Linked DNA regions of Alligator mississippiensis. The protein of the gene in region 1 interacts with the protein of each later gene in a biochemical or structural test. Links are inferred from orthologs where the notes say so. Each region holds a gene or a part of one and is shown in the gene's direction. Other genes may lie near its edges. The genes, in order: DNAJC3, THAP12 and EIF2AK2.

Region 1 (10,579 bases):
ACGATTATATATAATAATAGTAATATATATGAGCTAGACTGTTCTTAGTGGTAGCAGATGACAGAAGCTCTCAAGCTGCAGCAAGGGAAGTTACGGTCTGATATTACGAAATATTTTCTCACTAAGAGGGCAGTAAAGCACTGGATCATGTTACCTAGAGAGGTTGTGGAGTCTCTATTCTTAAGACCCAGGTAGACAAAGCCCTGGCTGGGATGGTCTAGTTGGGGATGGTCCTGCTCTGAGCAGGGAGGTGGACTGGATGACCTCCTGAGGTCCCTCCCAACCCTAATTTTCTGTGATTCTAAATACATATAAATAAACTGGTCTCTATTCTGTGTTTGGCTCAGGAATGAAGTAAGGAAGAAAAATGTGAACTCTGGCTGAATTAATAGCTCCTATATTTGTGCCTTGACACTCTGTGACCAACACAGGATGCATATAGCCAATCATACTACCAACAGAGCAGGCTTGCCAGAACAACAGAAAGTGATGTAACACTGGATTCGAGTGGTTTGGTACAATGTGGTCCCTGTGGCAAAACTTTTTTTGACCATTGAAATCACTCCAGAAGAATCATTAGCATTGTAGGCTGAAATCAAGGCTTATTGGAAAAGACATCCTGAAGAAAAAGGCTAATATGTTCTTGCCTCTGAGAAAACATCAGGCAGATAAATCTGTGAAAGGAGGAGGACAGAGTCAGGAATGAGTCATGAGAGGAAGAGGAAGTTCTAAATTACCAATTGTATTATTACCACAACACTTAAGAGCCCTAGCAGATAAGGAGTACAAACAGTGGAAAGAGTTGGTGCTTGTCCACAAATGTAGTTTCTGTGAATTGCTGAACTGGTTCTCACTTAAGCTTATATTCCTCCTGTTGAAGAGTACTGCAAAGCAAAAATCTCATAATAAGAATGACATGTGATGTACACATTTCTGAATGTTCCTAGTCTGCTCAAATATGACATAAAATTATGTTTGAAATGTTCCTGCAGTAACTGCTGTGGTCAGAGTTACTGAGCATAAAGCAGCTACAGAGCATAAAGCAGCCCAGGGCAGCTGTGACACGTGGGGCCAGTGACAACATCTGGCTGATTTTCGTGACACCAACATAATGATGCCCTGCGATGGCAGCGTTTTTTTCTGCTTTTGCCTTCCCAAGTTGGATCCTGGGACAGCTCCCCCACTCTAGTTACAATACTGGCTATGGTATCAGAAGTAAGCCTTTGGCTGAATAGAATTAACATAAACTTCTTCAGTCATACTGTTTTGTCGGACTTCAGTTTATGCTAGAGGGATTTTTTAGTTTTGCTACAGCTTTTTGGGTAAAGAGTAAAGGAAGCTACAGGAACAATTGAATCCTGACAATGAAAGGAGAAAAAAAACCTTCCACATAGCACTACTAGTAAAGGTGGCTTATGCCCATAATAGATAAGAAAGGCTTGAAACGTTCCAATGGTTTTGAACAGATACTGATACTAACCACAATATATGATTAAGAAGTTAGGATCTTACAAATACCTGAGAGGCAAGAGAGACTTAGGTAGTAGAACTATGAACTGAAGATTACTGAGATTCAACTTAAAAAGTTAATTAAGTTATACAGAAACAGAGGTAAATCACTGTATAGTTCACAATAAGAACTAAATGTAAGGAAACAAAAACATTGTTTGCAATGTTTAATTAAAAGTGATAAATTAACAACACTTAACCAGGATATACATTGTATCAATTATGAAATTAAACCAAAAAGGTTCAAGTAAAGGAATTTTTTAAGGCCACATAAAAAGAAGCTTTCTACAGTGAAATGCAACAGGGCACATCTACACAAAGCACTTTACTGTGCAATAAAACTGATTACTGTGCAGTAAGTGTCTGCATCTACACGTGCAGATGCTTACTGTGCAGTAACTAGCTCTAATCATGAGTAAATTTGCTACCTGCAAATGCAAGCAGAAAATTTACAGGGGCTGGGGAGTTTGGGCAGTGAACAGGCTCTCCAGCTCCTGCCCTGAGATACAGAGTGAGGGCTGGGAACTGTCCTTGTCAAGGGGCAGGTCTCAGTCCTGTGCCCCAGTTGGCAATCAAGATGCAAGGCTTGGAAAGAGTTGCAGATGTGGGGCAGGTCCCAGCCCTCTGCCCCATCTGCCAGTGGGGCACTAGCAGTGAGCCCCCAGCTGGGCAGGGAATCTGAGCCCCCTGCCCCCAATAGGGGAGCTGGGACTAGGAACATTGTCCCCGCCCTGGCAGCAGGCAGCACCCCTGGGGGCATGAAGCAATGTCCCAGCCCCTGCCAGAAGATAGCTGTCTCTTTTCCCAGTGCTTGCTGCCAGATGCATGGCCAGAGAGGCAGGAGCAGTTTGCTGCCAGGAGCATAAATCTGCTCCCGAAACTGTGCATGTGTCTGTAGATGCCTGCCCAGGAGCATTTACTCCCAAGTAAACTTTTTCCAGATCAAATGCACATGTAGACACACCTGCTGCCAACCTTTATATTCATGCAAGACAAGGGGCATAACACTATACTAATTTGGTATAGGCTCAGAATGAATGTGCTTAAAGGATAAAATGTGACTATTTAATAACATAAGCATGTAGAACAAAAGCTAAACCCTAGCAAAGGGTTTTAAAATCTTGAAAGAAATATCTAGGTGAAAGTATATCATCTAAGTTAATTAGCATAACTATTTCTATGAATAAACTGTTAGCACATTCACATATAAACAAGTATAAACACTAACAAGCTACAAAAACCTTTCTTCTTTTAAGGTCTTCTTAAACCATGTTAAACCTATTGGGATCTGTCTTACCACAAACAAATTAGAATGAAAATTGTGTCAACATTTGTAGGAAGTGTTCACACACAGTTAGGATTTTATAAGGTTAATGATGCTAGAGACAGAGGCACAAAAATTAATCTCAGTGTTGGTAAGCTAGATACATTCTATAAAGACTAGAAGTTTGAAATTAGAAGTAGTTTTCGCTTTTTCCAAAATAGCTCACAGCAAAGGCAGTGAGGGGGGGATGAAGGAGAAAAGCTGAAAGTCTGTCTCACACACAAACATGCAGTAACACTTCCCAACAGAGGGTGAAGTGAACAGATTAGATATAAGTCTGAACAATAATGGTTAATGATGTTTATATCAAGGTCATGCTCTGTTCCTTAGCTGATGCAGTGTTGCTTTCAGGGAAGCACAGGAAATAATACTGCTTCTTGGTCATTCTGATGAACTGAACTACTGAGATCTCAGTTCAGTGTGCCCAATTCCCACCTTAGTTTCTATCATTATAAGCAGTTTAAACCAAGACACTACAAGTTGTCAGAAGAAAGAAAAATCAAACTATGGCCTTCAAGCATGTATTAATATGCAAAAACTGCCCTGCCTATGGACTAAGAAGCCAGGAATACTGCAGAAAACTGGATTAAGTGAAAGGTATTAATTAATAGAGCTGATCTTTGCAGAATATGAGGGACATAAGTAGTCTCCTGCTCAGAAAGCCACTTTTCTGACACGTGTATAAGGCACAAAAGCAAGAATATCTGTAAAGCATAGGTCTCTAATGGGACAGTCATTGAAATAGGTAGGAAAAATCCATACAGACTACTCAGACTATGTGAGGCTTATTGTTTCCAAGGTAAAACAGCTCCAATCAAAGAAATATTTTCTCGGAGAGACATCAGGGACCTACGGAAACAATGAGTAGGTATCCAAGTTGTAGTACATAATAGAAGATTGCCTTCACAAATAGGGATGACATGCTGAAGTATATGACCTAACTTGAAGGAAATACAAGAAAATCATTAATGAAGTGTAGTGATCACACAGGTGCACATGAATGAAAAAACCTAAACAATGAACTTGATTTGTGAAGCAGCTGGCAACCTCTGCAGACCCTTTGAAGCAGCTGGCAACCTCTGCAGACCCTTTGTCTAGCTCTCTTAGGGTCGTGTTACACCTTGCATTGTGAGCTGCACAAATGTTAATTCAGGTTAACGCTAGCTTGGAGTTTTCAGCAGTTGCATCTTTAGTCTAGAAATCTCTCTCTCCCACCTACACAGCTATGACTTGCCACTAGAGGCCTGGTGAGCAGGAAGGTCCCTTCCAGCCATACTTCTCTATGCTATGCTTCTAAGGCAAGGCTGGGAGGGCAAGTGCCTAGCTCCCTTGGGCTAGCAGGGGGAAGCCGAGACTGCTTGCTGCAGGGTGTGTAAGAGCTGATGGAGTTAAAAACCAAAGCAACTCCCATGAAACCAAACTAGCAGCTGGCCCATGGGACTATTTCCATGGGGCTAAGACTTGGCACCAGCTGCATTACAGGGGGCAGCACCCCCAGGACTGGTAGGATGGTTTGAGCTGCCCCCAGTTCCCCTCAGGGGCAGCTGTCCCCATGATCCAGGTCCAGAGGTGGCTTGTAGTTTGCTAGCAGGTAGCTGCACCCACTCCAATGTTGAGGGAGCGAAGGAGCACTGCCAAGGCCAAGGCATGCTATCTCTCCCCCCAAGTTGGTTTCACTCAGCAGCTGGGAGCAGAGTCCACCTGTAGCCAGTTTCTATGTCCACACAGGCAGTGGCAGAGTCCTGTGCCTGAAGCCTGGATCCACCTTCAGCCATCCCATCCTGGAGCAGCGGCTTCCTCCCAACCCAAAGCAGCTGCCACCAGTTCTCACTGCATTGCGTGTGGATCAGGTGCATGCAGCAAGGCACTGCTGGAGCCGTGGGACTGGAGCTCTTTGCCCATCAGGAAAGGTAAGGAGAAAGCTGTAGTACAGGCAGTCTTCGACTTACAACATTTTAAGTTGTACAATGTTTCATACTTACAATGTTTATAAATTGACACCCTGTTTCAGCTTTCTGACGTCAGTTTTGACTTTACAACACTTGATCTGACACCACGCCAGGTGACACAACAAACTTGTTCGCTGGCATATCTCCTTGGAGAACATCTGCCCAAACTTCCTTCGACACTGCCTTTAAGATTTTCTACACATTCTGGATAATGATCGTACACCTGCCAACATGAGTGCCTTGTGCCCCTGGAGGCTGGGGGGGCACAGCAAGCTCCTGCTGGTGGTGGTAAGCAGGAAGCTTCTGCAGGTGGCAGTGGCACTGTTGGTGGTCGGGGGTGGGGAGGTGGCAAGCGCTGACCACCCGCAGACACCACCGGAAGCAGCCAGCAGTGATTGTGGACCGTGTGCAGACGCCACTGGCAGTGTCAGTGGCACCTTTTCCCACATGGTGCGCCGCCACACTCAGGGGGTGCACACCCCCTGCGCATTGCCAATGCCTGCCAACGCTGCCACACAAGTAAGAAGGCATTGGCTGAGGCCAGGTTAGCCCTAGCACCAGGACTTCTGCCCCTCTGAAATGTTCCCCCGCCTGCAGGAGAACTTTGCCCCCTCACATCTGCGCTGCCCTCTCAGAAACCGAGAGAGCAACACTTTCATGCCCAGCCCGGCGTGCTCAGGAGGCGGCACAAGCTAGTTATTAAGGGGCTGCACGGACACATGCGCCCTCCCACCACAGGGCAAAGCCCTCAGTGGCGTCATCTCGCGCTTCTGCGCATGCCCAAGCCCCCGCGGGGCGCAAGCGGTGGGCCTTCTCCGCGCTCTCCACGTGTCCTTAGTGGCGGGGCGGGGCGAGCGGCGGCGCAGCCAATCCGCGGCGCCCACGACCCACCCCGGCGAACTTGGAACGCTGGGCGGGGCGGGACGCGCCGAGCTGTCTCGGGGTTCAGCGCAGGCAATGGTGCGTCCCGGGGTGCGCGGCCGCCCGCTGGGCTCGGCGCTGCCCCTGCTGCTGGTGCTCTTCGACCTGCAGTACCAGGGTGAGGGCGCCGCGCGGGGGAGCTGCTGCCCGCAGGGCCGTGCGCGGCAGCGGCGATGAAGGGCGCGAGGGGCAGAGGCTGGGGCGCGTGTCGCGAACTGCCATCTGGCTCCTGCCCCGCGCCTCCCAGAGCTGTGCTGGGACCCAGCTGCTATGTGCTAGGGCAGCATGTCTCCTCAACCCGTGGGTTTCCGCCCCAAGAGTGGGTCGCAAGAATATATGAAAGCGTGGTGCACATACTTTGAAAACGGATTCCCCTTGAGAAGGAGAGAAACGTGAGACTTTTCCCTTTTAGGCTGGCACCGTTCCAGCCTGCCAGGGGCTGCTTCTCCCCCCCCCCCCCCCTTTCCCCCATGGATGCTGGGGGTAGGGAGCACTGGGTTGGGACTGGCCGTTGATGTTAACAGATGAGTTCTGGTGCAGGAAAGGGTTGAGAAGCACTGTGCTAGGGGGTGAGGGGAGTAGGGCTAAGGGGACTTGGGGCACTAGGAGCCAAGGAGGAGAAGGGGGAATCTGCGGGGTGGGCAGTGCCAGCCAGAGTTGGGCCCAGCCCATTCTTGGCATAGACAAGCTCACCCGGGAGGTGCCCTGCTGCCTTGTGGAGAAATGCACTGGGCTTGGCCTCGCCCCAGGATTGCGGCAGCGGGGACCAGGCTTCTAAGGGGGCGGTGAAGATGGGGGACAGTTAATGTGGCAAAGAATAAACCCCCAGATTGAGCCCTTCCCCAGGTACTTTCTGTAATGAAGACACCAGGCTCAAAAGTGAGTGGAGGCCCTGTCTTCTTAAAACCAACAGCTGCTTTAAAATAAATAAATACATACATACATACCATGTCTTAGTCACACTGGAAAACTACATGTATCAAGAGTTCTGTCAGGGTGGCAGCAAGTGCTTTGCTTTCCCAGTCTTTTGGGAGCTACCAGCAGAAGACCAGTTCCTGAAAGTTGAAACAGCTGCCTTGGTCCTAAACAGTGACTTTATTCAACTCTCACTGACTTTTTCAAGTTAAAAAAAAAAAACAAAACTTTTTTTTTTTTCTTCTCCTTTTTTGCTTGGGGTTTTTATTTGGAAGTTTGCCTAGGTCTCTGACAATCACTTTTTAAAAAAACATTTCCTGCATTGGCACCAGTAATAGGGTTTTCAAGGCAGATTATATTCCCCACCTGTACTTATACAGCCAATTTGCTTTCAGATTTGTATCCTTTGTGACACCTGTGTAATTACGCTTAGGGCTGATGGAGTTGTGCAGGTGTCTGTAATGGCGCAGTTGGAAAACAGATGTTTTACTGGTGTCTTTGAGGGCAGGATTTGATCTTTCTTATTGGTGGTGATGTGCAGAGTAGAAGGAACCCTGTGTGAACCTTGCAGCCAAGAGTAAATCTGTGGACTTCTCCAGCGCTGCATTTGAAATGCGTTTCAAAATTGTGCTTAATAAGAAATCTATAATGGAAATGTGCTTCAGCTGGCTGATGGACAATATAATATTAAGCTGGAACTTGGTAACCTGTAGTGTCTGATTATGTCAAAACTTTGTATTGTATCTTCTGGATACTTCTGCTACAGGAAGCAAACTAATTGTGATCAGAAGAATTAGTCTAAGCCAGGAGTTGGCAATGCTGAATTTGGCCTGTGAAGCTGGAGGGCTTTGCCTTTGCCCATGGTGGCATGAGGAAGAGAGGGGCTGGGCCTTGCCACTTCCAGCAGCCCTCCCAGCTCTGGTCTGATACAGGGTGGGTAGTTTCAGCAGCCTGTCAGCAGGGGGAGGAGAAGGGAGGGATTTTTTCCCTGTGCTGGTACCTGGCAGCTGGGAGCAATGTCCACACAACCAATGCTTTCTCAGCTGTGGCATGGGTACTGCTTCCAGCTGGTGGGGAGTTTTGGCGGGGACAGGCATCTACAAAGTATGGTCACCTATACATGCTGATGCCTGTTCTGATGCTTTCTAATTGGAGTGGTCCAGCAGACTTGGCGTCTCATGTTTTCAGTGTTCCCGTGTTTCAAAACAGTGGTGAGGGCACTTTAACTAAAGCATCCCTACTGCCATTTTGAAGCATGGGTTGCTGAATACATGAGACACTGTAGGTGTTTTAATTAGTGGCTCCTGAGAGCTGCTCTAACTACCGCCCCCCAAAGCATGTGTAAGAATGCGCTACGTCCATGCTGCTGCTAGTTTCCACACCACATCCCCTGCCCCAGCTATGGCATGAGTACAACTTCCAGGCAGTGGGGAGCTGCTCTGCAGCCTAGGTTGGGGCGGGGTAGCATGGGCACAGTTTCCAGGTACCTGGTTCCAGCACAGCGGTAGCATGGGCACAGCTCCCAGCTGTGTGGTCCTGGTGTGGGCACGAGCAAGGCTCCCCAGTACTGTCACACAGCTGAAGCCACCTGGCCTACATTAGACTGGAGCTGTGTTGTTTCAGCCTAAGGTATGTAAAAGATTGCTGGCCCCTGGTCTAAACAGTTGCACGTATTCTGAAGCACTTGGAGATGACATACCATTATGCTGATAATTGTGGATATAGAGGTGCCAGACTATCCCAAGTCACTTTCTTATATATGGCCATAGTATGCATGACCTGGTGCCTTGTTAATTGTGGCTGCAGTAGGCATACATTTCCTTTCTAACACTGGATTTATTTTCCTAACAGAGAGCTGCAGTAGACTGTGATAATCTTGATGGGAAGGGTATTATGCGGAACTAGATTGGACACAGCACTCATAAGAAACAATTCTGCACATATTAGGGTGGCCAGAATGTGATGTAATTGGGCACAATTTCTGAGATGCAATATCTCTTTCAAAGCAGCATTTTCTTTGGTATATGTGAAGCTAACAAAATACACGACTAGTATCTTTTTGTCATACACTAGGTGGTACACTAGGTTCTGTTGACTTGCATAACTATATTGCTGAAAGAATAGTTTATTGGAGAATGCATCATGTTGACGTGTTACTGGGAGCCTGCCTCCTCTGCAACACAGTTCATCCCTTCTGTTCCTCACTGGTCCCAAGCACAACGTCACTGGTTTCAGGAAGAGTTGAGGAGATTCTCCTGAAGGAGGGTGCTGAGGATGGTTGAAGAAGTGATGGGTGAATTTATTGCTGGTTAAAAGACACATACTGTGCAAGCGTGTTTTCTGTGAAACTCATTGAATTGGAAGGATAGAGTCATTTCTATATACCTCATGTTTTTCAGTATTGCCAGTCTTTTAGCTCTTCTAAAAAATAGTTTAATCTTTCCAGCTTTTAACTTGTTTGTAGAAGTCCCCTGATTTAAGAATTTGTGTAACAGGCCAGTTTTAAGCTGAAGTCTTATGTGGATGCTAGTTGATAAGCTTGGTTTTATCTTGTTTGAATGTGAATCATGACTGACTTTGGCAGGCAAGGTTCTTCGAGTAGATGTGATAGCTTTTATTAGATGAACTGAGTAGTTGGACTACGTAGTTGGTCTAATAAAAGAAGTCACATCTACTCAAAGAACCTTGCCTGCCTTCACCTTAGACCAACACTGCTACAACCAAAACCCCCACGACTGACTTTGCCATTCTTCCGCTAGTATTCTGGGAACTGGCTTAAAATGAGCTTTGGCTCTTCTGTAGGATTCTTCTGTTTTGTTATGCACAGGCTTAGGGTTAGCACAAGCCCCTTTGTGAACATGGATATTTGTTCATCCCAGTTGGAATAGGAAATGGATGACTGGGGAGGTCCTGTTTTTCTTCTCGCTCCTTTCAAGCAGCAAGATAAAGGACTTATGTGGAGGGAAAGAAGAGTAAGGCCAACAGGGGCTTTTCAGAGAGCTCAACATTTTTAGCCAGGTTTGCTGTTACCAGTCCTTTGACCTCTTCAGGTCTCTTTTCTCACCACTTACCCAGGGATGGTGTCAAAGTGTTATTTCTCTTCCTGATCTGAGGCTGAAACAGATTGTTATGGAACAGTACTGGTGGGGTTTTTTTGTTTTTCCTTCCCTCCCCCAGGACTTAGGTTTTGGGGAGTGGTGGTAAGGAAGAGAAAGAGAGGGATGTCTGCTTTGTTGCTTAAAGTTACTCCATGGTCTTTTTGGGGGTGGGGGGATGGGGAGGAGGTTGCTGGTGTTAACATTGCCTCCTTCCTTTCCAGGTATCCTCTGGGACCTACTTTTAGAATTATACTAGCCAATGCGTTAATTCAGGGGTGTCAAAGATACAGCCGGTGAGCCAGATGTGGCCAGTGGAGCCCTGTCATCTGACCTGTGGTGCTGCCTGCGAGTCCTGGGCTGGGCCTGCATGTCACATGCTGAATGCCCCAGACCCAGCACTATGCACTGATTCAGGCGTGAAGGGGTGGGACTGCTCTGCTGGGCTGGTCCAGGTCATGTGGGGCTAGCTGATCCAACTTGCAGACTAGCCCCTCACTGGCCGGATGAGTTAGATACCACTGCTTTAGCTGATGGCTTTAAGGGGCTGATGGGCAGTTTGACTTCAAATGTTGCAGTACTTTCAGATGTATCCTGTATTGGTGAACCTCTTTGTGCTATTCCTGAAGGTTCTATGTTACTGGTATCCATTTCCTCCTCTGTAATGCTAGAAATTGTTGCTGCTGTCTTTAACTGCACTCACTCCCTCTTCAGACCTTATGTGGTTTTTTTACATATTCTGTATGCATTACATGAATAATAGCATTAGACCTTGTGATTGCCAGAGGTGTGGACCTGGCAAATACTGTGTACTGGGTGGAGGTAGCACAGGGATTAGATGTTTGCTGCTCTCCTAAAACAAGGTA
Region 2 (10,183 bases), about 100 Mb from region 1:
CTCCTGCTCCAAACAGGTCTTAGGGTTTCATGTCCTTTTTGCAAAGAGCTCATTGCAGGCTAGACCTCTGCAGAAAGCTGTTTGCAAAAGGGGAAACACAGTTCCCTGCTTCAAAAAGGAAAATCCACATTTTCCAAAAGGAGATTAGACAAGCATCTGACTGGGGTTACTTGACCCCAGCGCTTTTTCCTGCCCAGAGCAGGGGGTTGGACTCAATGATTTACTAGGTCCCTTCTGACCCTAGAAATAGATGAAATCTATGAAAATCAGCATTTTTCTCCTTTAAAGGGAGGAAACCTGTGTATTTCCTCAAGAAACAGAAAACCCAGATTCCTGCTAATGAAATATATAGATGAAAATCAATAAAATAAGAGCATATGCAAGGATTCTGGAATCAAATCCACAAAGTGTATGGCTTTTTCCCCTCCATTTCCTACGACTGCCAGAGTTGGAACCGCTTGTTCAGTGGTTTCACGAGGCTCTGTATGGAAGCAGGAGCATTTTTGGCATAGAGCAGAGAACTCTTTTTTTCCTCCCCCCGCCTTCTTTATCCTGTCTTTTGTATATCAGTTCACACCGAAGGTTAGGATTATTTGTGGATATGTCTTCGAGTCACCAGTTGGATCCCTTAGTAGACCCAATGGGAGCACAAAACTAACAACTGCAGATTCTGTGGCCCGGTGAGGAGGGCACTGTCCTGAGAAGTGGAGGGGGGCACCAGGGTACTACTTGCAGCTCCAGAAGCTGTTTCTGCATTTTGCATTTAATAGTCATTGGTTAAAATGCATGTACAGCTAGAAACCACATCTGTCTTCCAGGCCAGGCCCCTCCTCATTGGGACACAATCACTCTGCCTTTGTGTGTTCTCCTTCTGGCTCCCTGACTGTCCCGTGGCTGCCCAGCTTCAGCAAAGGCATGGAGGGTGCTCTTGGTCCTGGTTAGCTCGCAGTTGGTGGTTAGGGTGCTTTGTTGGGAAGTAGGAGACATATATTCAAATCCCTCCCCACCTGAGAAGGTCTGAAACCTGGGTCTCCCACTCCTAGCCACGTGGTCTAACCACTAGGCAAGCTCCTGAGCTAAAAGCCAGGGGACTGTCCACCTCCTGTGATCAAAGACGGTGTTTATTGAGGTAGATACCTAAAGGCTCAACAAATGTGTCTTAGCAGGGGATTAGGGTCTGGCCCTAAAGGTACGCCTATCCTACAGTGTGCAACCTAAGTCCCATGTCACACTCATACATGCACCTGCTGAGCCTACCTGCAAGTCACACTCAACCCACCCCACCTGTTCTCATATTTACCTTGGCACTGCATTTGCTCAGGTTACACTATAGGTTTCTTGGGAGCATAACCTCACCTCCGTAACATGGGCTGCTCTAGGAACTGGTTCATGGTGTATTGTGGGAGAGCTTGTCTAGGGCTTCTGGCCATCCATTTCTGTGCCAAGCCATTGAATCAATCCACATGGGTGGGGTTTTTGCCAGGATAGATGAGGCCATCGTTTGCCTGCCAGAAGACGGTGACTATGCCAGCTACAAAGTTGTACTGCTCCACAGCTCTGCAAGGCTACAATGGTCACAAAGCTCAACATGAAGTCTACGGGGAAGGGTCATGGCACCAAGGTGCTGAATAGATCTGGCATTGATCCATTTGGACAAGTAAGATCCTTATTCCTTCCTAATGATTTGATTATTAGCAGGGGTCTACGCCCATTATTATTTTATATCTTATGATACTGTACTCTGATCTCATAACAACTGTCAAGCGAAGACTTAATTACATACACACAGTGGTTTCAAGATGCGGTGGGCTGAAAGCAAAATGGAACTGCCTGCAAAAGCATTTGGATGCTAGTCTGGACAGCTTAAACCTATGTTATTGTGGCATGCAGCACCATAGTATCATAGGAAAATAGGACTGCAAGGAACCTCATAAGATCATCTAGTCCAGCCCCCTGTTCAAGCAGGATCATCCCTGATTAAACCATCCCAGACAAAGTGTCTGTCCAACCTACTCTTGGGAACTTCCGAAGATGGAGATAACACAATTAATTTCTCTAAGTCCCCGGTTCCAATTCTTGACCACCCTCAAAATCAGAAATTTCTCCTAATCTCCTACCTCAATTTCCTCTGCTGCAGCTTGAGGCCATTGCTCCTAGTCCTGTCCCATACAGCCACAGAGAAAAACCCATCTCTATCCTCTTTATAATCACCCTTGTGTTACTTTAAAATTTAGCTTGGGTGGAGAGCGAGATTAATGATCAGTGAGACCATTCCAGTCATACATCAAAAGCCTTATTGGGATATGCTTAAGCACTAACTTATTTACAACAATAATTATAATACTCGCATAGCCTTGGAGTTGAGAGAAGTCAGGTCAGCTGGCCCAGCATCGCCACTTCCTCGGTGATTCATAAGGGTCAAAAATGCTCAGAGGAGGCTTGAGTGATCCGATTCCTTGCAGCTACACAACTTTTTTACGCTTCTGGCAACACCTGGTTAGTCACATACACCATTTCATATTTGGCTAACCTAATTCTGCATCCAATCAACACCTGTTTTCTTCTTTCCTTTAGGTTGCAAAACACAAGCCCTGCCTGCCAACCTGATACTTGCTTAACTTGGTCATGTGCACTTGCACCATCATGGCATTACTCTGGCCAAGTGGGGCTTGCCAGGCCTACACTTTGGGTATTTGAAGACTGCTATCAGTTTTTGATAGTGGGTGACTGAGAATTTAACGTCAGTGCTGTGTGTTTTAAGAGTTTGGCTTCATTAAAAGCTTTCCATGCAGCTTCCTGGCTCTTTTCTCAGACCTCACACCAACCTCCTTTATAACCAGACCACTTTATTAATGAATAGATATTAACACTTTCATAGCCAAGTTGGTGGACAATCCCACCAGTTTGTCCACAGATAACTGTTCACAAATGTGAAAACTAAAAGCGAAACAGATTGATGATGCCATGAACCAAGATCCAAGCCCCACAAGTCTCTGTGAGTGCAGATCTGGATATCTGAAAGGTAATACTTCCTGCTCTGCTTCCCTTTCTGAACAGGCTGCTTTGATTTTACACAAGCGTATAAGATGGGACGGGACGAAACGCACAGGGTCTGTCTTTCCATTTAAGCTCAGTGAATCATGTATGAATTGCCAAGAGTGTCAAACTTGTTTGTCCCTGCAGGCTGGATGAGTGGGTGAGGGTCTGGTCCACATGCCAGATGAAGGGTGTGAGGCCAGATCAGGCCCAGAGACCCCTCCCATGCTGGATCGAGTGCACATGGCACCTGCTTCAGCCGGTCCAGGACCCAGTAGAAAGAGGCACAGCATCCCAGCTGCTCGGCTGCTGCAATGGGAACAAACTGTGATGCTGCCGGACTGAACAGGCTTACCAAGGAACCAAAAGGGGTTGGAAGCTACATAAGCAATCGTTAAGTAGGGCAAACTTCCAGGACTCTTGCTGGCTGCCCTGAGGTTCTGCTGCATGAATAGTTCTCTAGCACCACTGCCTTGATTGGGGGAAACTGTGGGATATAATTAACAGGTTACCGAACTAGGATCCAGAGGCTTGCTGCCAGCAGAGCATTCCCTGCCCTCCTCCCCTAACCCAAAACAGATGGGTCCAAAGGGTCAAATGCAGGACCTTCTGCTTCACAGAGCCATAGGGATTTCCTTGCTATCTCAAAAATGTTGTGACTTCTTCCCTCAAATGAAGCAGAATTCATCCCACTTTGTCCAATAGCCTCCAGAACCATAGTTAGTCATTACCCAGGAATTCCTTCCACTTAAGCTATCATTTTCCTTCTGAAAATATTAAATCGATGACTGCTGCTTGCAGGCTGAGGACCCAGCTTTTGTGCTGCTCCCCAGGCCCATCCTCAAAAAAATCTTTGGAAAAGAGACCCAGGACTCACAGGCTCATCTTGCCACCTGGTTCAAACCCCGATTCCTAGTTCCACAGACTTTCTCCGACACCACCTCTTTCTTCACCACGTCTGGTCCATCCCCTTTCTCTTCGGTCTGCATGTCAAATGGTCCTAGATCAGGACCATGTTGTGTAGTACTGTGAGCTCTGTGTATGGGGCAGTGCCAAGGATGCAGTTGAATGTCTCCTAACAGGGGCAGGGAGACAAGGCATTGCTGGATCTGCTGCTGCTGCTTTTGCCCATAGGGCTGAAAATGGCTGGGGAGCTCCTCTGGCAGGACGGGGGCTTATGCAGCACTTAGGGCTCCTTGGATGACCTGTTCAATCAACACAGCATGTCATCTGAAATGAGCAGGTATATTTAGACTAACAAGTAGTTTGCAGTGAGCGAGAAATGGAAGGGCAAGAATCTCCTTTGGCAATCACTCCCAGATGAGGATGACTGTCTTATAGATTATGATTGTCTTATCTATATGACAGAAGATGACTGACAATGAGGCCTATCCAGGATTGACAGACTCTACTGCAGCTCGGATATGTGTTTATCACAGTAAAAGTGATCCCGCTGTACATGGTTTTCATGAGGAGGCAGGTAGACAGGCTATGTTTAGGGCATCTTTTCAAGCCCATGCGGGGTGAGCAGAGCGGATCTTGAAGAGGGCTGCTCGGTCGCAGTTACGGCTGCCGAATCACACTCCTGCCTCATCCAAGTGCTAGACAACCTTCTTGTAACTGCTGCCTTCGTGCCAGTTCACGACTAGGAGCTTCCAGCCCTCACAATCCTGCTCCCGTCACCATTAGCTAGTCACCAAAGGGCTTGAGGAATGTGCTACAAAAGCTGTGTTCATGGAAGAGGCCCGTGCATGACTGCTTTTATTGGGAAGAAGCTGCTGCACATCGGCTTCCACATGACCTGACAGAGCGGGACCTTGATCCACTGGCAAAGGGACCAAGATATCTGGGGATCCCGTCCTGCTGCAGCCTTTATTTGCCTTTGCAGCCATTGAGAGTCTAATATCTTCTTCCATCTGCTCTGCCGTGGAGCACTTGTAGACCCATGGTTGGGGGCTGGCTAGGCTTGTTATAATGGCAACCTGTACTCGCCATGTCACTGCACCCTCAAAGGATATATGACTTTTCAGGACTTTTCACACCCAGTCTCCCTGGCCCCAAACCAGCCACCATTAAGCAGTGGAAAAGTTGCTCCGTGACTTGGATTTGTTCCCTCAAAGCCCCAAACAGCATGCTGAAAGGGGTGCATGACAAGCCATTAACTGATTCACCCTGAAGTGAATGCAAAGGTTATTTGTTCGAGCCAAGTTAAGTCCTTTTAGACTTAAAAACAGGAACCTTGCAGAAAGCATTATAAAGGTTATAATTATAAACCAAGGCTTGTATCATTATAAGCCAAGGCTATAATTATATTTCCTCATCCCTTTACAATGTCTTGTATCAGCCAAGAGAGCTACAGCCCAGACAGGAAGGCATTGGCTGCAGCAAGGGAGATCCTGGTGTGCAACAGCCTGGGGACAAAAGCACTTATGCACTGACTGCCTCTCCCCTTACAGAAAAAAAGATATTTCTTTGCAATTTCTAAGCTAGTCTAATAAAAAGTATCATTTTGGAAACAAAAGTTCTCGACTTTTGCATTTCTCCCATTACAGGGCACGCGCCCTACTAATGCCTTCTGCGCATGCGCACGCTGACCCCTTGCTTAAGCCTGCTGTCTTCTGCGCATGCACACGGCGATCGCTCACAGCCCACTGGTGCCGTCTGCGCATGCGCAAGACGACCAACTGTCCCTGCTCAAACCCCCACTGGTGTCTTCTGCACATGCACACCACGACCACTAATCACTTAATCTACTGGCGCCTTCTGCGCACGCACATCTCGTCCGTCAGGCGCACGCGCACTACAGCGCGCCAGCTTCCCCACGTCAATTCCCCGCCCCTTCCACATCCGGGTTCCAGTGGCTGGCTGCGGCAGCTGTTGGGTGGGGGGGGGGAAGGGAAGGGAAGGGACGGGGCGACGCCTGCGCAGTGGCTCGCAGGCCCGGCGCGCCACCGCGGGGCATTGTGGGAACGAGGCGGCTGTGCCCCGGCGGAGGGTGGCGGTGAATCCTCCCGGCCGCTCACAGCAGTGTCGAGCCGCTTCCCCGCCCCCTCCCGCCGCGCCCCCTCCTTGCGGCCCGCTGCGCGGATTTAAAGGGGCAGCGCCCCGGCGCGGGCCATGCCGAACTTCTGCGCCGCGCCCAACTGCACCCGCAAGAGCACGCAGTCCGACCTGGCCTTCTTCCGCTTCCCGCGCGACCCGGCACGGTGAGGGGACCCCCGCCCCGCCCCCTCCCCCTCCCCCTCCCCCTGGCTCAGGTGGGGGCGGGGGTGACCCTAGCCCACGTGCAGGGCGGGGGGAGGGGGGGGTGAGTGTGATGGCAGTGGCCCAGAGCCAGGTGTGTTGGGGGAGTGTATCAGTGTGAGTCAAAACAGATAATGGTCTATTGAGGACATCTTTATGGTCCGCTCCTTGAATCCAGATGGGCTGCGTCCTCCTGAGAAGCACCCTTGTAAACTATATTATTGCAATATCATTATGAAAGTGGCTGCAAGTCCTAAAAAAAAAAAAAAATGGAAGAGATTTAAGGGTTGTCTGTACTTAGCTAACTTGCTAGGAGTTATTTTAACTTAGTTTAACTTTGTAATAGGCTGTTATTAACCATGCTTCATACAGGGGCGGGTCATTATTTCAGCTGGAGCGCCACTTAACGAGTTTTGGTGAGCTGTTTGAGGGCCGAACACGCACGGTCTTTCGGAAGATATCGTTTTAACTCGTAGATAAAAAAACAAAAACAAATCGTATATTAAAAAACATAATTTTATTTCAAAAAATATTTTTTTTGTTCTGATTTATGGGTTTTTTTTTTCGAGGAGTTTATGTAAAGGCAATTGCATAATAGCTCAAAATAATCTTACTCTTGTATATTAGGTGTGCACTGAGTCCTAAAAGCTGAGTTGGGGTGGGGGAAGGAGGGGCAGCAAAGCTTGCCGGGGCAGTGCTAAGTCCACCCCCTTTTTCTGGCCACGGCCACCCTTGCAGTGTTATGCGTGAGGCTGAGCCAGTGTGTACAGCTTCCCAGTGGGGCTGCCTTTCCCCCACTCGGCCACCCACAGGTGGCTACTAGTTGTGCCAGGTGGGTGAAAAGTGTCCGGGAGTTGGAGCCGTGCACGCTGGGGTAGGAGCCGCTCAGTTGCACCTTCCCCTTGCTCACCACCACTTCCCCACCCTATCTGCTGCCTACAGGGCAGGTGAAGGGAGCGCCACGGGAGGCAGTGGGAACTGAACAGCACCCAGATAGCTGCAGTAGCCCCATGGGGAAGCGATGCATGCCGGCAGGGGCTGGGTCCATCCGGCATGCAGGAATGCAGCATTAGCTGTCCTGGGAAGGAGCGGGCCAGACTCGGCCCCATCCACAACACTGTGGGGGCAGCTACAGGCCAGATGCAAGTCAATTGGTGTGCGCCTGCCACTGGACCAGATCCAAACGGTTGGCGGGCTGGTTCCAGCCCATGGGCCGTATTTTCCCCATTCCTGTCTTAATACATAAAGAGGGGAGGAAAAAATCCCCAAAACTTCTCGAGTGCTGTAAATAGTTTTTTTGGGGTTTTGTTTTGTTTTTTACTGTTGAACACACGTTGAATGGATGCTTTCCGATTTGGTAATATAGAAGAGCGTTTTTTAAAAGCATTTTATGCTAGATATTGCCACGTTAGGGAAGTGACTGTTGGTATTGATATTTTGACACATAGTCAAGATAACATCATTGACAGTTATTCCACGTGGAAGTTACTAATTATCTTGAAAGGCTTCAGGAGAACGATATTTTTATTAGGGCTGTGCAACGCTTCGGTCGCTGGTTTGATTCAGCAGAGATTTGGCCCAATTCGGTGGCTGGAGCTGAATCAAATCAGGAGACCCTTTAATCTCTCCGAATTGAATCAGAACCCTCTGAATTGATTTGGAGAGATTCGATGATTCGGCCATAGACACAGTTTTAAATGGGTTTTTTTTCTACATACCTCAAGGTACTGGGGGCTCGTGAACACTAAGATGGTGAGGTGGGTGGAGCGTCCCATGGGAGTGCGGTGGGGGTCCCCAGCATACTCGGCAGCAGACCTGGAAGTGGACTAGAAGCACTTCCAGGTCCGCTGTGGAGCATGTGGGGGACCCCTCCTGGCTCAGCAACTGGTGCCTCCTGGGTCTGGGGGGGACGTGGGGTCCTGCTGCGGCTGATTGCTGAGCAAAGAGGGGCACGAAGGGGGGCCCCCATACACTCGGCGGCAGGCCCGTAAATGGACTGGAAGTAGTTCTGGGTCCACTGCCGAGCATGCAGGGGGCTTCCCTGCACTCCTGTGGGACGCTCTATCCGCCCTAGCATTGCAGCGTTCACAAGTCGCACCTGATACCTCGAGATATATAGAAAAAACATTTAAAGCTGTATCTATGGCTGAATCGCTGATTCTCTGAATCAGCATCGAATCTTTAGATTTGGATTCGGCCGGATTGAATCAGGACAGTGATCCGAATCAACAAATCGAATCGCTTTTCCCTGAATTGGCCCGAATCCAACTTGAATACGGCCCACTTTACACGCCCCTAATTTTAATGTCAGTTGAAATGGTTCAGTGCCTGCTTAAAGTGAATGCTGTGCAAGGTTGAGTATTAACTTGGTTTTAAGTAGATTGCACTATTCTTGGCATTTGAGAATTTGCTGATGCGAGATACCAACATATCTCAAATTCTGCACAACAAGAAAATTGCACATGCTTTGATTCATTCTTATCTTTAGCAGCATGTAACTTCTCAGCCTCTCTAGCTCAGATCTAGTACTACTCTCCTTAATCAAAAAATAAATCTGAACTGAAAATTATGACTTCAGTATGATTTGTCTTGGATTTTGGCAGAGATAGTTACGCTGCCTACCCTGGCTTGGGCAGAAATATTTTTTGGTCAATTTGGCATGCTTCCCATTTTTTACATCAGAATTTACTATTTGTGAAGAAAGAAGAATGCCATCTGTTGTTAGACTCGGTGGTTGTAGGACAAGGTGCTCATTATGGTAGTAAAAACTGCGATTTAGTCGCAGAACTGTGAACTTTGGAAACACGGGCTCAAATCTGCACAGATGTAGCACTTACCCTCATAGGGTACATCCACACATGCAAGCACGTGCACTTGTAGCAGCTCAAATAGAAACGGAACAAATTTGAGTCAAGGCTTTTTGCCTCGGCACACGTGGTTGGACATGCACTTTGTTGTGGAGCAAATTGTGCCACTTGGGGCAAAATAACCCTGCCTGGCCATCTGGGCAGCTATCGCCCGAAAGATGTTCCGTGTGTGGTGGCCTGCTTTGAACTGTCAAAGCATGTCCTCCTGGCCCCATTTGGACAGGAGGTCAGCCACAGCCAGCTGGGTCCAAGGTACCAGCTCTGAGCAGGCAGGGTCCTGCCACCCGCCTCCCTAGCAGGAATTGTGGTGTTCCCTACTGGAAAACTGAAAAATCCCTTATGAAAAAAAAAATCCCAAAGTCACTGTGTAAAGTACCCCCAAATCCATGTTCCTCCACAAGTAAAACAAAGACCACTATAAAGAGAGAGAGAGTGAGACAGACGGCGATCGTTTGGGCAATATTTTATTGATATATCTAGTGTTAAAGCAGTGTGGAAGCAGCCCACCAGTGTCTCTATCATAATAATAAAGTGAACTCTAAATACATGTCACATGAATATATAGTTTGCTACCACCCCCCCCACCAAGGCCCACATGCCACACCCCAGCCCCCCCACTTGCTGCCTCACCTGGCCCCATCCCCTGCCAGCTGCTGCAGCCCCCCATCCCCCCAGTGGCTGCCCCAACCCCCCACTTGCACCCCCAGCCCCGATGGCTGCCCCCCCCCCCCCCCCCCCCCCCCCCCGGGACTATTCCCAAACAAAAAAGGTCTTACTCTAATGCAGTTTTCTAATAGTAAAAGAAGACAAATGATTTTTTGCATGCAATCAGTAGATTGTTTTTTCCCCTTAAACAAAATGGTCCTTTACACTTCCATGAGATGTGTTATTTCTGAAGAACTACTGACTTGTAAATGTTTGTGACTGAAGAAAAGCACTTCAGATTATAAGAATGGCAAACGAGGGAGCAGAGAAAACCCGAGCAGGTCTTGTCTGTGCCAAATATTTTGTTGGTAAAGAACTTGGAAAACAGTTCT
Region 3 (9,998 bases), about 200 Mb from region 1:
GACAAGTGAGAAGGGGAGGGCACCCTAGAGCTGGAGCAGGGTAAGAAGTGTGTGACCACTAGGAGGTGTTGCAGCCACCCTTGGAGCTCAAGCTGATTATACCATCTCAAGTGTAGGTCAGAAGAAGAGAAGATAATCTTGAATAGGATGAGGGCAAAGACACAGCCCTGCTTGACTCTGCTTTGAATCTCAAAAGCCTTGGATGTCGATCCCCTATAGCTGACTGTTCCCCACATTCTGTCATGGAAAGGGTAGATTATGCTGACTGAGTTCTGGTAGGCAGCCAATGTTTTCCAATAATTTAAAGAGGCCCATATAAGAGATCTGTTCTGCTGACAAATTCAAAGACCAACCACAACTAGTAATATTTGTTTGCTATATTTGAATAGATGGAAATGTAAAGAAAGAAATGGCAGGCATTGTGGCTCTTAAAGAAACAACGCATGGAATTAACAAATGCACTAGAGAATGCATTGGAGAATGCTAGCGTCTCGCTAGGTAAACTTGCCAGTACTGCAGTGGACAGAACTCCTACAATGGTGTGGTGAAAGGTAGGTCTCATTACACCTGTAAGGCCTTAGCATGGCAGTCAGGCAACTTGGTCACTAACACTCAACCCCTTAAGTAGGACCAGCTGAGCCTGAGCCTGCTGCTTGGTTCCAATGCTGCTCTTAGGAGCTTTGGCAGCACCTAGCCCCCGCTGTGCAACAAAATAGCCTCAGTCTGCATGTAGCTCTTGTCTGTGTGACTTCCCTGGAGCCTGTTCCAGTGTTTCAGCCTGTGTACCCAGTCCCTGAACTTTGGACCCCCATTTGACTTTGGGTCACGTGGCCAGGAACGCAGGTTGGCAGCTTGGAGAGTGGCATCCAACCAGTAAGTCTGTAGGGGGGAAGGTGTGGGGGAAGAGGCATAGAGGGGTGCAGATTGAGGCCCCCACAGTGAGGGATGGAGTGGGGCTGGGGCAGGGGTAGATGCTGCTCAGCCTGGGTGGGGTGGGGCATGGGATGGAGCCATGGGAGGCTGATCTGGGGGATGCAGGGGGTGGGAGGGGGCAGCTCCTTGCCTCTGCGTGCTCCCCAGGAAAGGCATAAAGGGTATTTTGTGTGTGAGGTGAGGGTGGGCTGAGGGCTGTGCCAGCCTCTTCCAAGTGGGAGGGCTGGGCTGGGGCTGCACTTGGGGCAGGCGGTATTTGGAGAGGTGGTGGTGATGCTGGGAGGGGGGGCCATGGGGTGGCTATAGTGAACTTTGGGGTGGCTGTAACCCACCTTGTAGCCCCACTCCCAGCACTGCCACTGCCTACCCCACCCCTGACCCTCCCTTCTCTGAGTGTAGCTCTGGCTCATCCCCCCAGCCTTGAGCCCATAGTGGGCAACTTGCTCTTGTCCTGCGCACAGATCTGGGGGCACATGCCCCCCAAGTCTACCTTGGAGGTGTGTGCAGAGGCAGGAGCTGCCACCCCCATCCCCCGACAAGCCACCTGCAGCCCCAGTCCCACTCCCTCCTTCACTGCAGGGCCTCAGTCTGCCTCTCCCCATGCCCTTTTCCACCGCACAGACTTACCGGACACTGCCCTCCAAGCTGCCTGGCTGCATATCTGCAATTGGATTAATACTGGCTGATATGGCTGATAAATAATCAGCCATCAGTATTGGCCAAAAAAATCTCTGGCCAGCAGCCAAAGCATCTTCTGGAAGGACTAAGCCTCTGTCTGCCAGTGCACACTCCTGTGGCATACACCGCACCACTTCTTTTTTCATAGTGGTTTTTTTGCTACTGGAATTTCCAGTAACAAATTTTGCCCCCACACTGCAAATTTGCAGTGCTGCACATGCTTTAACATGCCAGGTATAGTTTGTGGCACTGCAAAGAGGTTTTCAGTGCTGCAAACCACATGTGCCTGCATATCTGGATCTGGCCTGACTGCCATTCAGATTTCCATCCCCTGCCCAATCCATTGCTCTGCTTTCTGCTCCCTGCCTCATCTGTGTCTGTGCTGTGTGCGCTCTTCCCCAGTCTGGCAAGTGCCACATGCAGAGGTAGCCCATGGCACTTGTGACATGTGCCACAGTGTGACTGTCCCTGAATTATCAGATGACTTTCATGGTAGATTTAAAGACTTGCAAATACTGAAACTTGTGAACTCACTATTGATTGGTGTGATTTAATGAAGGCTGCTGGTCTACCCACAAATCCCTACTCGCCCATCCATCTGCTGTAGGAATGGGCGTTCTAGCACTCTTAGAGCAGTGTTTCTCAACCTGCGGGTCATGACTGTTACATCTCAGCTGTGTGTTCTTGGGAACCCTGGCACAGGATGCAGTCTGTCTGATTCACCCCCCCCCCCTTCTCTACATAAACAAAACTGATTAAGAGGCAGTGAGAGACACACCTAAGACCCTCCAGATAAGGCTGACAAGGGTGGAACAACTGCCCTAGGTCTCATTTGCATCTGAGATAGAACCTGATGACCATTCATTTACATGAGAGATGGAGAACAGAAAGCCTGAAGCAGAGACTGCAATGAATGCTGGGACCAGAGAAGCAGGGGAGCACTGCATGATGGGGAATCTGTGCTCCAAATGCTAATCAACCCATATTCACACACACCCAGCTCAGCATTTATCAGACCAGTTCTAATCTGGATCTACAAAGGACTCCCTTCCCCCCCCCCCCCCCCACACACACACCCCCACCTCTAAGTTTAATAGGCATCTTGGGCCGTACATTTCCCGGTCCCACTATGGGAGGCCTATTTAAACTTGATTGACTAAAGCTCGGTTGCCGGGTTAGGGAATGCTGAGGCAAGAGACCGAGTCAGAGGGGGCAGGGGCAACATTTGAACAATGGTTAAGGGTTCATTGCAGTGTCCAGCCTGTTGGAGCCCTAATCACAGGTGTTGTCATACTTTTCCCAAGATGACTGGTGGGAGTCCTCTCCACAAAAGGTTATGAGCACCCCAATAATTGTCATAAGTCTGTTAAAAGACTATAATAAGATCTGGAAAAGTCATGCTAAGCTGAGGCTTGTTCACAACAAGTGAAAATCCAAAATCCTGATGCTGCAGGCTATCTATTGTTTCTGAAGAACCCATGAGATATCCCATCAGTATATCTGCTATCCATAGGAATTTCAAGCTGGCTCCCAAGTATTTGGTTACTCCCTAATCTTATGTATTTCCTGATTATCAGTCAGTTTCTTGAGGTGTTCCAAACCAGATAACCCCTTGTCAATAGAAAAGACAATGATTTACACAATTGAGGATGCTTTGAAGCAGCTGAACTGAGGGTATAAAAATCTGTAAAAAGTGTGAGTGCTCAAGAAAGAAAGAAGAAAACTCCTGTGCTGACACCATTCCCTGTTCTTCTTGGGACGCTGGAAGAACAGATCATCTCCCTTCAAGGACTGTGCCTGTCAGCTTTGCAGCCTGAGTACCTTGGACTGGTGAGATCCCAGCACTCTCTCTCTCTCTTTTCTCTCTAGGCATAGATTTCTGAACCTGAACTGTATTAGTTAAGCTTGAGCTAAGTTTCCCCAAATACTTAGTGAAACCAGGGTAGTATTGTAACTGTGTTTGTTTTTTTTTTTCTTTTGCATGTCTATTACTACTAGTACTATTATATATTTCATATGCTTAGCAATAAATAACTTTTATAGTCAAACTGGTAGTAACTGGGTATATTTTTCCTTCTCTGCTTCTCTTTCCTCCCGTGCTCTGCAGCAACGCTTCTTTTACCTAAGCTAAAGATCCCTGTGAAGCCCAAAAATACTGTGGGGTCTGCTCATCAAGAGGCCAAAGATTGGGACGTGCTGAGTTTGAAACACATAAGGGGATCAGCTTGTACAGGCTGATTGACCCAGTTTGACTCAGACGTGCCCTTATGAACTGAATGCTGGCCCATGAGGGTGTCAGCTGGACACCCAGCCGGATTCAGAGGGATTCTGTTTACCTGTGTGCTTGTGTCTGACTGCAGTTTATTGTTGCTCTGATGAACTGATTCTTGGCATATGAGGGTGTCAGCCTGTCCATGCTGATCAGCCCGGCCAGGTCAGGCGTGTCACGTTAATTTGTGTGTGTTTGTGTGTATGACTGATTTGGTGACTGGAGGAACCCAGTCTCATTGAAATTGAGTCCTGCAAGATAGCTTCATTGGGGGTGAGGGCTTGAAGAAGGGAGAGATGCAGCTCCATATAGTAACACAAGCAGCACATTGACAGAATTACCAAGACCCTAGAAACTATCCCTAATAAATGAGCACACCCCAAAGTAATGGGCAAATCTGGTAACATGACCCAAAAGTGGGTCGCAAGAATATATGAAAGGGTCACAAACAAAGTTTAAAAATGGATTCTCCTTTCAAGGAGAAAAATGTGGGAAACTGTGGCTTTTCCCTTGCAGGCTGGCAGAGCTCCAGCCCCTCCTGCCCCACACACTGGAGGGCTGGGGGGCAGCTGGTTGCGAGTGAGGGGCACTGAATTGGGACTAGCCATTGCTGTTTACAAATGGGTCTTGGTTAGGGTGGCCATCATAGAGGGCAGTCTGGTTGTCCTCTGTCCTCTATTGCTACAAAACCAGATGCCTTTATGTCCCCTATTTTTTTTTTTTTTTTTTTTTTTTTTTTTTTTTTTTTGTTGAAGAGGAAAAATGGAGAACATAAAGGTGTGGGGTTTTGTATCAATAGGGGACAGAGTAGCAGGACACAGGCATGTCCTCTATGACAGCCACCCTAGTCCTGGTACAATACAAAAACAGTTGAGAACCGCTGTCGTGGAGGAGATGCGTGTCTGAGGCTAATGAATACATCAGTGCATTTGGGTGCGATGCTTTAAAGGCCCCCTGTGCTCTGGAAGTGCTGTGTCATCCTCTGAACATGCGGCTCCTTCATAACTTGGTTCCGCTTGACACCCTCTGGCTGGAGGAACAGGGCCCAGGGCCGGATTCACCCTTTCGTGGGCCCCCAGGTGAAGAGAGAAACTTTTATATGACTTTCCCCCCCACTCCATTCCAATACGTAAAAATAAGCACTTCTTCACTTAGGGCCCTAGGCACCTGCGTTCATCCGGCCCTAACGGGCCAGCAATGCCCCCGGGCTTCGTGTGCCTTCGCCCAGGCTCGGCTTGCCCGGCGCGCCTCCCGCGCGGGGCCGGCCGGGGGAAGACCGCGCCCTCCGACAGCCCTAGCTCGTCCGAGCCAGGCGCAGCGGGCGTGGGCTGCGCCGCTTGCTCCGCGCCTTCGCTTTCGATTCCCGGCGCGGCGGGAAGGGCGGGCGCGGCGGCAGGAAACGAAACCGGGCGGCTGCAGCGAGTGGCGCGGCGGTGAGTGGTTGCACCGTCCGGGCCTCGTGGTGCAAGGAGCGGGTCCCCCGGAAGCAGTGGGAAGGACACCACTTCCCCGCCCTCCCCGGGTTGGGGATCCTGTGGGGAGCGGGGCAGGAGTGGGGCGCCGGGAGCACCCTGCTCAAGGTTTGGCCCTTTTCTAGTCCAGGAGGCAGCTGCGTGAGGAGCTTTCCGGCAGGATCCAGTGGGAGGCAGGCAGTGGGACAGCAGCTGGAAGCGCCCTCCAGGGCTGGCGTGTGGTGCAGCCCCTGCCTGAGGCCGGATCGTCCAAGCCTCTGGGCAGAGCTATCCTCCGATCTCTACATCCCACTGACCAGCGCAGACCTAGCGCCCACACCTGCCACAGGTAAAGGGGGCGGGGCGGGGTTGGCTGCTCTGCCCACAACATGCCCTGCCTTCTTTGGGGAAGGGGACATTTGAGGGTTATGCTGTAAGGTCCTCATCTCCCCCAAACTGGCCCAGATTTGGCCCCGCGACCCCACAAGGCAGCTGGAGTCCAAGCTTCCAAAAAGCTTTTAATACAAATTTTTTCCTCCCTCCCACCCTACCTAGACTGCTGACAGCCCCAGGCAAACTTTTAGTCCCCCTTCACCAGAGATCATGATAGTTATAATAAAAAAATTACTATTTTTGCACCCCCTTTCTGTCTGGGCCCTGAGTGGTCTCCCAGTTTGCCCATGCCTGTGTCCGGCCCTGCTCCCACCCCACACACCGCTGCTAGAAGGAGGGGATGGGTAAAAGAAAAAAATGTGGATCCATCGTTACTTAGGGAAGGGATTCGTAATGTTTGTGTGCCCAAGGGCACATTTGAATTTAAAAGAAAAAGCAGCAGGCATCAATAATGGTGGCTACAAATGTCCAACTTGGGATCCTTAAAATTCTAGTTTATTAGGCGGATTGAAACACCGTAATCATAAACCTTGCGTCTGGCACACACACACACTCACACTCACACTCACTCTACAGAGTCAGGTATACCTATCCTACAAGCACTGGAGTCTGTCGTTATGGCTTCTTTCAGTGTGGTATTATCTTCCAGAAGGGGGTCACCGGCTGGTCCTTCTGGCTGGACAGGTCTGGTCAAGTTGGAGATCAAGAGGGCGCCAATGACAGTCACTTTTCACTGCCTTTTATTTGTCCCTGGCAGACTTTGGTGACTCCCCAGTTTTCAGGTTTGCCCAATCCAGGGGTTATTGACCCTCGTGGAACTTCCCCCCCCCCCAGTGGCTACTGGATGGCATCTGTCAGTCCCAGGGGTCGTCCGCATGTACGTGCAGGTTTGGGAGTCCGTTGATGAATTTAGAATAGGGCTCTGGGAGCGGTTGATCTGGAGATACTCAGCCCAAAAGTTGGTCCCCAGCGTTGATTAACTCAGGCCAGGGCTTCTAGCCCTTGATCAGTGAGGTTTACAGATTTCGCGGTTGTTCCGTTGTCTTCTATTGAGTTCTTCCCTTGGTTGATCTGCAGCTTCCAGGTGTTAATTGCTGCCTGTTGCTACAGTGTTACACATTCAATCACTGATTCACTCCCTCTTTCAGGTGCCAGTTTCATACAGGGAAGGACAGTTTGATTCCTACCCTTGTTACAATGTATAACTTACTAAAACACATTTAGTTGAAAGGTGAGGAGTATCAAATATAAGCTACAAATGCCATGGCACACAAATAGATAAAAATACCAAAATACAAGAGGAGATACAAAATGCACACACACAACTTTTAAAACACAATTCCTTATCTTAAAGTGAGAGAGAGAGAGGAAAGAAGAAAAGGTAGAAAAAGAGAAACATATCCAAAGAGGGGAGAGCAAATACAGGCAAGAGGAAAAGGGGGCTTTCTGCTACAATATGACAGCATTTTTTTAATGGAATAATTATTTTTACTGATCAGGAAAACTTGGGCGATGGCGCCAGCGTGCACTGTGTTGGGAACCACTGATTTAGTGTGACCATATTTCTTGAACCTCACTTCCTCTCTACCTCTTCTCTCTGGCATGCTTGGCTGTTTCTGAGCTCCTCAACACACCTCTTTTAGCATGCAACAAATATTTTGTAGCAAAACAGCCTATAATTCTCTACGCTCAGAAACACTTCCTGGATCTGTGTCTGTACCCATGAAGTATAGGGCTGCCATCTCTGTGTTTGCTTTCTTATATTCTTGGGGCAGAGACAAATGCTAAAAATATACATTCACTGTCAATTTTTCCCCCCTTGCAGGTTGGTTCAAAATGGCATCTAAGAAAAAGCTTAATGAATATTGTCAAGCATGTGGATTAAAGGTGTCGTATGAGGTTGTCAGTGAGGAAGGCCCACCTCATGATCCCAAGTAAGTTCATAATGGAGGCCAATGGATCTTCATTAGTAGTCTGGAAGGTGGTAGGGAGTACACTTTCAGCAAGTTTGCAGATGACACCAAGTTGGGGGAGTAGTAGTATGCTGGAAGGTAGGATTCAGGGAGACCTAGACAAATTGGATTATTGGACCAAAAGAAATCTCAGGAGGTTCAATAAGGCAAGTGCAAAGTCCTGCACTTAGGATAGAACAGTCCCATGCACTGATACAGGCTGGAAGCTGATTGGCTAAGCAGCAGCTCTGCAGAAAAGGACCTGGGGGTTATAGTGGACAATAAGCCGAATGAGAGTCAGTGTGCCCTTGTTGCTAAGATAACTAACAGCATACTGGGCTGCATTAGTAGGAGCATTGCCAGTAGATTGAGGGAAGTAATTACAGGCAGTCCTCAGACTTATAGATTCATAGATGTTAGGGTCGGAAGGGACCTCAATAGATCATCGAGTCCAACCCCCTGCATAAGCAGGAAAGAGTGCTGGGTCTAGATGACCCCAGCTAGATGTCTATCTAACCTCCTCTTGAAGACCCCCAGGGTAGGGGAGAGCACCACCTCCCTTGGGAGCCCGTTCCAGACCTTGGCCACTCGAACTGTGAAGAAATTCTTCCTAATGTCCAGTCTAAATCTGCTCTCTGCTAGCTTGTGGCCATTATTTCTTGTAACCCCCGGGGGCGCCTTGGTGAATAAAAACCTCACCAATTCCCTTCTGTGCCCCCGTGATGAACTTATAGGCAGCCACAAGGTCGCCTCTCAACCTTCTCTTGCGGAGGCTGAAAAGGTCCAGGTTCTCTAGTCTCTCCTCGTAGGGCTTGGTCTGCAAGCCCTTAACCATACGAGTGGCCCTTCTCTGGACTCTCTCCAGGTTATCCGCATCCCTCTTGAAGTGCGGCGCCCAGAATTGCACGCAGTGCTCCAACTGCGTTCTGACCAGCGCCTGATAGAGGGGAAGTATCACCTCCTTGGATCTATTCGTCATGCATCTGCTGATGCACGATAAAGTGCCATTGGCTTTTCTGATGGCTTTGTCACACTGCCGACTCATGTTCATCTTGGAGTCCACTAGGACTCAAAGGTCCCTTTCCACTTCCGTGCCACCCAGCAGGTCATTCCCTAGGCTGTAGGTGTGCCGGACATTTTTCCTCCCTAGGTGCAGCACTTTGCATTTCTCCTTGTTGAACTGCATTCTGTTGTTTTCTGTCTACTTGTCCAGCCTGTCCAGGTCTGCTTGCAGCTGTTCCCTGCCCTCCGGCGTGTCCACTTCTCCCCATAGCTTTGTGTCATCTGCAAACTTGGACAGAGTACATTTCACTCCCTCATCCAAGTCACTGATGAAGACATTAAAGAGTATCGGTCCAAGGACCAAGCCCTGCGGGACCCCACTGCCCACACCCTTCCAGGTCGAAACCGACCCATCCACCATGACTCTCTGGGTGCGACCCTCTAGCCAATTCGCCACCCACCGGACTGTGTAGTCATCCAAGTCACAGCCTCTTAATTTGTTCACCAGTATGGGGTGGGATACCGTATCGAAGGCCTTCCTGAAGTTTAAGTATACGACATCAACCCCTACTCCTGTGTCCAGGCATTTTGTAACCTGGTCATAAAAAGAGACTAGATTAGTCAGGCATGATCTGCCTGCTACGAACCCGTGCTGGTTTCCCCTCAGCATAATTTGTCCTGCCGGGCTCTCGCAAATGTGAGCCTTGATAATTTTTTCAAAGATTTTGCTGAGGATGGAGGTGAGACTGACTGGCCTATAGTTGCCCGGATCCTCCTTCCTCCCCTTCTTGAAAATGGGGACCACATTGGCCCTTTTCCAGTCCTTCGGGACTTGGCCCATGCACCACGAGTGTTCAAATATTCCCGCCAGTGGCTCTGCTATGATGTCGGCCAGTGCCTTCAGCACCCTCAGATGGAGCTCATCCGGGCCTGCCGACTTAAAGGCACCACTTCTTCCAAGTGACTCTCCACCATCTCAGGGTCTACGCATGGAAGTCTGGCGCCTTGTTGCTGCCTCTCTACAACCCCAGTGAGAGCCTTGTCGTGCCCCTCACTTAGGAACACTGAGGCAAAGAACTCGTTGAGGAGTTCAGCCTTGTCCCCCCTGTCCATCACCAATTGTTTCTGCCCATTTAGCAGGGGTCCTATTCCTCCCTGGGCCTTCCTTTTACTCCCTAAAAAACAATTTCTTGTTGTCCTTTACTTGGGATGCCATCCTCAGCTCCATGGTAGCTTTGGCCTGTCTAACTGCCTCCCTACAAGCGCGAGTGGAGGAGGTATATTCATCTTTGGTGATTTCTCCCCGTTTCCACTTTTTAT

What was found.
Region 2: the proteins of DNAJC3 (region 1) and THAP12 form a complex in vitro, tested with the Homo sapiens proteins (2 studies listed by BioGRID). The link is inferred for Alligator mississippiensis from reciprocal best matches to the Homo sapiens genes DNAJC3 and THAP12.
Region 3: the proteins of DNAJC3 (region 1) and EIF2AK2 form a complex in vitro, tested with the Homo sapiens proteins (2 studies listed by BioGRID). The link is inferred for Alligator mississippiensis from reciprocal best matches to the Homo sapiens genes DNAJC3 and EIF2AK2.

The regions. Positions count from the first base shown.
Region 1 is NC_081824.1:367,686,748-367,697,326, reverse strand, and holds the start of DNAJC3 (dnaJ homolog subfamily C member 3), read left to right. Parts: upstream 1-5,680; 5' UTR 5,681-5,739; coding exon 5,740-5,821; intron 5,822-10,579. UniProt on the Homo sapiens protein: Involved in the unfolded protein response (UPR) during endoplasmic reticulum (ER) stress.
Region 2 is NC_081824.1:469,817,538-469,827,720, reverse strand, and holds the start of THAP12 (52 kDa repressor of the inhibitor of the protein kinase), read left to right. Parts: upstream 1-6,005; 5' UTR 6,006-6,153; coding exon 6,154-6,242; intron 6,243-10,183. UniProt on the Homo sapiens protein: Upstream regulator of interferon-induced serine/threonine protein kinase R (PKR). May block the PKR-inhibitory function of DNAJC3, resulting in restoration of kinase activity and suppression of cell growth.
Region 3 is NC_081824.1:166,421,543-166,431,540, reverse strand, and holds the start of EIF2AK2 (interferon-induced, double-stranded RNA-activated protein kinase), read left to right. Parts: upstream 1-5,054; 5' UTR 5,055-5,077; coding exon 5,078-5,313; intron 5,314-5,477; coding exon 5,478-5,680; intron 5,681-7,549; coding exon 7,550-7,658; intron 7,659-9,998.